Linked DNA regions of Arabidopsis thaliana. The protein of the gene in region 1 interacts with the protein of each later gene in a biochemical or structural test. Each region holds a gene or a part of one and is shown on either strand. Other genes may lie near its edges.

Region 1 (3,496 bases):
TTTATTTATTTTTTGACATATTTGCAAGTCGAAAAGTATTTTAAAAGATCTTAAGTAATAATCAGTCTTGAAAGATTTTGTAGTAGTAAACCTAAAATTTAGGCTTAAAAGTCTTGGAGAACGGTCGATATAGATAAACAAAAATCATGTGGAACTAGTCTATTTTTCTTGTATCCTAATAGTAACATTATGTTATAATGATTTTTAGGATTATAAAACTGTCGGCGATGTATGTTTTTGTTCATAAATCTAACTTTTAGATGTATTTTCATGACAATATTCGAATGAGATTAAAAAATATATATGTAGTCAACGTGTGTTTCGGATAATTTTCTTCTTAAACTGCTTGTAAAAACACTAAATGATTACACCTCATAAAACTCTTCGAGTGAGGAAAATAAATCTTGCTGAATTAAAAGAGGAAAGAAAGTGAAATTGGCATATGGATCAGACAGCTCTGCTGTCAACAGATTGAAGCACTTTCTCTGTTCTGACAGCCAACAGTTTGAAGTACATGCAAGGTTTTTAAAAAAGTACAATTTTTGTGACCGTGAGTAATCAACCTAACCACCATATGAAATTTCTGAATTAGCACGTATTTCCACTCAAAAATGTGGAAAGTTATATAATCAAAACGAATTGGTTGGAACAATCGAATCCTAAATATATGGATGTACACACATGTACACGTAAGAAACCGCAGTTTCAAATATACTAGACTTTTTGGGGTGAAGTGACTAAATATTTCCTCAAACTACAAAATTTAGGATAATACGATTTAATATATCAAACGGTAAACACTACAGAACAAGTAAAAACCCCAAAATTTTGCTCTCTAGTAAAATTTACATTTCTAGGAATCATGACGAGGACAATTCTCCAGAAAACTCTCAAAAAGACGTTAATTTAGAAAAAGAAAAGTTTAGTGACTTGTAGTAGTTGTCTCGCCGGTATCTTTCACTTTCTCTTCTTCGCCTTCTCTCATCTTCTCTTCCTCTTTGGCAACACTTTCCTCCTGAGAAATCACCATTTTACCCTCGTGACCACCACACGTACACTTTTTCATCGCCGGTGTCGCCAGATACCTCGGCAAATCTTCTCCGGCCATTATGACAAGAAACTTCTCCTCGTAAGCTCCGTTCGCCGCCTTATCTCCAGACCGGCTCTCTTTCTCTTCATCTACGTTTTGACCATCTTCTTCGCCGGAGGAAGACAGGCGCCAGTAAGAGCAAGCGAGGATGAGAAGAGCAAAGGCGATTAGTCCTAGCATCGCCGCTAAACCGCCGAAGAGGTAAGGAACCGGCGAGTGCCACGGTGATTGCGGCGTCACTCCGTGGTGATTAACGGAGGTTGACGTTGCCACATCTTCAAACTTCGATTGTACGCTCAATGGTCTCATTTTTGTTGTTGTTGTGTGTAATCTCTTTTTGTTTCTCTCTGGACTTGTGTGTTTTGGAGATAATTTCTTCTACTTTTGTTTTTCTAACTTGATGTGGAAAAAGGAAAGATGAGTAGGAAACAGAGGAGAAGGTAAAGAGATGTATTTATAGGTATATGCAACTTGGGGACAAAGAAAGTGACGATCATATTTAATTGATGGAATTTAGTGGAACCAACTCTTTATTTCTTAACCATAGTGAACTCATCAACGTATCTCTCTTTTATTAAAGAAAATAACGTATTTATACTGTAAGAACTAAGAAGTTACAGCTGGACAAGTGAAAATGTTAAATTTCATTCAATATATCAACAGAACTAGACAGCTAACACTTTTATTTTTCATTCTTGAAAATAATAAAATACAGTGATTTGAGAGTTGAGATATACATAGTCCGTACAGATAGAGGCATATTTTTTGAAATCGATGTATTATCCATATACCACGCAAAAAAAATGTTTGTAGCTAATCAGAATCAGGGCATAGTGAAAGAGCAGTTTAGATTGGGGTGTAGTGGAATATGACAATGTTTTCACGATGATAATAGCGAACAAAGATTATTTGAAAGTGAGTGAGATTGTGGGTTAAAGTGCCAACAATTTCATTTTGTTTTTCTTCATTATTATTTCCAAATTTCATTTGGCTCTGGTGCTTTGACTTGACATATATACTCATTAATTAGTCTATCTTTCTTCTTTTCTTGCCTCTAGCCAAGACTATGCGGTGATTCCATTTTTTTATTTTTCACTTCTTATTAAGAGCTATGGATAAGAAGATCATAAGTTTATATAAGATCTCATTTTGTTTATGTGGTACGGTGAAGCATCAATCGTAAAGATGGTTCTGTGTAATTTGATGTCCGATTCCCTATAGTTCTTTAGTTTTAGTCCTGTAATTTTTTTATTTTTTTATTGCAGTTGTTTAATATATATGTTTATCAGTTAAATTTAGAATCTCTTTTTTCACCGTGGAATGATCCAATATCCACGGTAAAAGAAAAACTTGGGTTATCCTTTAATTTCCTTAGTTTTTCTTTACCTAATTTTTGCTTTTTGTTATTTTATTTTTATCTCACATCTTGAATTCTTGATTATACTTTCCCACTGTTTAGCCACAATTTGATTCCTCTTCTTAAGAATGTACGTTGATTTCTTTTATGCTTTCATCTTTGATGCTTTGTTTGTAGAGAAAATTAGGAATCTAGCATTTTAAAAAATTCAATTTGTTCAAATAACAGATACTATAGAAAAATCGTTGATGTTTTGTCTATTTGCTCAAGAATTTCGGCGTGGAAGCTTTGGAACATTGGCGTAATAGTTTTGAAAAATATGTAACGTTTACTTGTCAAATAAATTTTTGTCATGTTTTAATTCATAAACTTCGGTCGAAAACAAAATAGAATCATAAAACAAAGCAAGAAAATGAGTATCATGGGACTGGATCCACAAGACCGGGACATGTTTGATTTTTATGGTAATTATTTTTAGGCAATCAGAAAAATTGTGTTTTTAAAAAAGCAAGATAGAGAGATATTTTTAAAAAGATATTGTTATTTAAAAACATAAATCAAAATCAAAATTGGGAATTTCTTGTCAGTGAGAGAATAATAGTTTTATATATAAATAAAAAAAATACAGGTCCCATCTCATATGAGTATAGCAAGTTTCACAATCTTCATCATTAAAGAACTCGTGCATCGTTTAGAAGAAAAAAAGTTTTTACCTCTTTTTTAATTCTAAAACAGTATCAAAGTTTTTTACAAGAAAAAGAAAACAATAAAAAACAACAAGGGATAAGAAGGCCGCATTGTCCATTGGCAATCATTCCACTAATCACTATTAACATGAGAAAATAATATTTGTATAGTTTTGTTGTGTGATTGTGTCCCACGTTTCGTCAGCTTCCACTTCGCACCTTTTAGCAGTAGAGGGTACGTTTTCTTTCTGCACGGACAATCACCGCTCGTCGTTTTGTACTATTCGTCCCTACTCCTCTCATACATATAAATGGAAACGTTCAAAAATCTGAATGGCTTAAACAAATTAAGTTCAAAAATTG
Region 2 (3,760 bases), on another chromosome or scaffold:
GTAATTCTTTTGACAATATAGAGCTTTTCTTAGTCATAAAACAGCTTTTGTTTCAAAATTGGAAACGATCTCTCTTTTTGGGATCTTACACAAAGTACACATGTACGAAATTCCTCATTGATACATCATTCCTCATTACGAACCACACAATTAGATCTAACATATATATATTTGTTCCACTCAAATACAAATCTTGTTAGGGTAACATCACCTCTGAGGAAACGACAAAATGAAGTTAATGAAAGTATTTGGCTTTAGATGGATTCGTAGATAGTACGTGACACGTTGCTGATATGCGGACTTCAGATAAATTATCGGCTAGTATCATAAAGATAATGTAAGGGTCTAAGCATACTCACTAATTAACGAAATATCTTCTTAGAAACACCTGAGCTCGATCTATTTCAATCATAGTGACTCAAACCTAAGAAAATCTTTGACATATGTATATTACATTAGTGTTCCAAGAAGATGCTACGTTCGACGTCATATTTGTTATCCTGTAAATTATAACAAAGATGCATCAACATTCAACAGAGAACAAAGTTTAGTTTTTATATATATATATATGTCACGATCATAGGTCTACATAACTATAAATTGATACAATTGATTTTACAGATTTTACACAACATATGTATCCAACTTGATGATATATCCGGTCTGCCGTTTCCCACTATATATAGAGTATTTTATAATTGATTCCCATTTATTTTTCTTAGTTTATATATGTTCGTCTTTTGGAATTGCTTAATGAAAGTGTGTGCGAGTGGTTAGGTATGCGATTCTATTATGTCTCTTTATTTATTTTTGATTTCGAATCGCACCACTACCTTCGTATGGGAATGTTTCAATATGATATCTATCTGTATATGATCACGAATATAATTTGATTTTGATCAAAATCAACATGTAATATAATTTCACGTAATATCAAACATCCAATAGTTACAGTTTAATCTGGCTACTGAATATATATATATATATATATATATATCTTCCTTTGAAAGAATGTTTATATATTTTTATTCTTTGTGACGTTTTTTTTAGCTAATGGTGATCTCTTGACTCTAAATTCATACAAATTTTTTAAAAAATTAGCTTAGGGTTTTGAAAATATAAAAACTCTTTTAGGGCTTATGTTTTCTTTTTGGTCAACGGAGCTTATGCTTTTGTAGAAACACTAATTTTTAAGACATTAAAGTATACATCAGTTTTGTTTTGTGTTTTGGGTTAAACTTATACACAATTATTCAAAGACGACAAAACAAGTTTAAATATGAATTCCAAAATACCAGTTCATCTTTTCGGACTACTGTATATAAGAATATTATGTTGGCAAAAAGTAGGTTTATTATAGGTTAAAAATAAAAATAAAGTATAGCCTACTTTGTTAGGAATACATATTAAACTTCACACTAATTACTAGTAGATATTTAGGCAATATAAGTCTAGAAGCGGAAAGTAGACAATGCCTATTGCCTAGTATACATTTCGGACAGCACAAGTGACTTTTAACTCTTTAATCACACAGAAGACAGAACTATGCAATGATCGACAACTTCTTCACTCTGTAAAATATTTGGATTTCTCAATTAATGGTTTCTGAAAATAACATCATCTTTTTAAAGCATGAACAAATTAATCCTAATGTAGACCTAAATAAAAATCTTAAGACCATCTTTATCAGTAAAAACAAGGAAAGATTCTAAAAAAAAATAAAAATAATATTTTAATTAAAACAGATACATTAATTATTATTTAATAATTGAATTAATAGTATGATGACACTTGTCCAAATTGGATGAGAATAGTTTCTCAAAGTTTCTCGGAAGAGAAATTCAACTCTCCTTCTCTTCTACTTTTTTTTCCTTCTATCATACTTTTTCTTCTTTAATTATTTTTTTTTTTTATTGGGTATCTTATTGAGATACTTCAAATGGAGATGCTCTAATAATTAATGGGAATGTGTTTCTAATTAAAAAGATAACATCTTTCTTTCTATATTTTTGTCGTCATATAACACACCTCAACTCTTTTAAGTACTCGTGTTGAATTTTGTTTTTTGAAAAGACAAAACTCCTTATAATCAACGTAATTATTAATAACAAGGAGAAAAAAAGTCCAAAGAAAAAAAAAAGAAAGCTTTTTGGGAACATAAACACCATCGAAGGAGGGTGGGAGGTGTTTTATGTTCATGGGTGGAGCTTCTTGGCCAACCTGACCCCATTCATCATATCATTACCCACTTTCTTCTCCTAAATTATTCTCTCTTATCTCTCTCTCTCTCTTTTTATTTTCTTTCTTTCTTAATTCATCTAAACTCTCTCTGCTTTTGCTTTTCGTAATTCCTTACATTTCACTCAATATTAATCCCCAGAATCTCCGATCCACCCACAAATTTAGCAATTTTCTGAGATTTGATCATTTGGGTCACCAAAAAATCTTGTCTTTTTGATCTGGGTTTAACGCCAATAACATATGGGAAACATTAGCAGCAGCGGTGGTGAAGGTAGACGCCGTCGACGGCGAAACCATACGGCGGCTCCACCACCACCTCCTCCTCCTCCTTCTTCTTCTCTTCCTCCACCACCTCTACCTACAGAAATCCAAGCTAATCCCATCGTTTTCGCTGCCGTTACTCCCTATCCTAATCCTAATCCTAATCCGGTTTACCAGTACCCTGCTTCTTACTACCACCATCCTCCCCCGGGAGCCATGCCTCTTCCGCCGTACGACCACCACCTCCAACATCATCCACCGCATCCTTACCACAACCACTCTTGGGCTCCCGTGGCGATGGCCAGATACCCTTATGCTGGTCACATGATGGCTCAACCGACTCCTTACGTTGAACACCAGAAAGCCGTCACGATTCGTAACGACGTTAATCTCAAGAAGGAGTCTCTTAGGCTTGAACCCGACCCGGATAATCCGGGTCGCTTTCTCGTCTCCTTTACGTTTGATGCAACCGTCTCCGGAAGGTAGATTTCACTTTCTCCCTTTCGTTGATTTCGTGATCCATTTGAGCAGATAACACGTGAATTTTGTTGTGTTCTTCCTCGTGACTATGTAATTTGGATCTTCTTATTGCAATTTGATCAAATCTTCTTCATGTGTAATTGAATTAAGCTTATGTTATTATGTTGGACTTGTGAAAAATAGGATTAGTGTCATTTTCTTTGCTAAAGAATCCGAAGATTGCAAACTCACAGCGACAAAGGAAGATATACTGCCACCTATCACTCTAGATTTCGAGAAAGGACTTGGTCAGAAGTTTAAACAATCATCTGGTTCTGGTATAGACTTTTCGGTCTTTGAGGACGTTGAGCTGTTCAAAGCGGCCGCAGACACAGAGATCTATCCATTAGCGGTTAAGGCAGAAGCAGCTCCCTCAGGTGGTGAGAATGAAGAAGAAGAAAGGTCGGGGTCGAAGAATGCGCAGATTACTCAAGCGGTTTATGAGAAGGATAAAGGAGAGATTAAGATTAGAGTGGTGAAGCAGATACTATGGGTTAATGGAACGAGATATGAGTTGCAGGAGATTTATGGGATTGGGAATACAGTTGAGGGGGATGATGATTCAGCTGATGATGCTAATGATCCTGGTAAAGAATGTGTTATATGTTTGTCTGAACCACGAGACACCACTGTTCTTCCATGTCGACATATGGTAAGTGAAAGCTGATGATTTACTACTATTATGTGATGATGGACATATATATAGATGTTAAAAATTGTTTGGGTTTGGTGGTGCAGT

Evidence for each region. The genes of interacting proteins can lie anywhere in the genome.
Region 2: the proteins of GDU1 (region 1) and LOG2 form a complex in vitro, tested with the Arabidopsis thaliana proteins (2 studies listed by BioGRID, with this or other methods).

Annotation. Positions count from the first base shown.
Region 1 is NC_003075.7:15,359,110-15,362,605, reverse strand, and holds GDU1 (glutamine dumper 1), read right to left. Parts: upstream 1,595-3,496; 5' UTR 1,400-1,594; coding exon 923-1,399; 3' UTR 532-922; downstream 1-531. UniProt on the Arabidopsis thaliana protein: Probable subunit of an amino acid transporter involved in the regulation of the amino acid metabolism. Stimulates amino acid export by activating nonselective amino acid facilitators.
Region 2 is NC_003074.8:2,996,557-3,000,316, reverse strand, and holds the start of LOG2 (RING/U-box superfamily protein), read left to right. Parts: upstream 1-2,061; 5' UTR 2,062-2,481; coding exon 2,482-2,984; intron 2,985-3,165; coding exon 3,166-3,673; coding exon of another isoform or gene 3,674-3,688; exon of another isoform or gene 3,689-3,759; coding exon 3,760-3,760. UniProt on the Arabidopsis thaliana protein: Acts as an E3 ubiquitin-protein ligase, or as part of E3 complex, which accepts ubiquitin from specific E2 ubiquitin-conjugating enzymes and then transfers it to substrates (in vitro).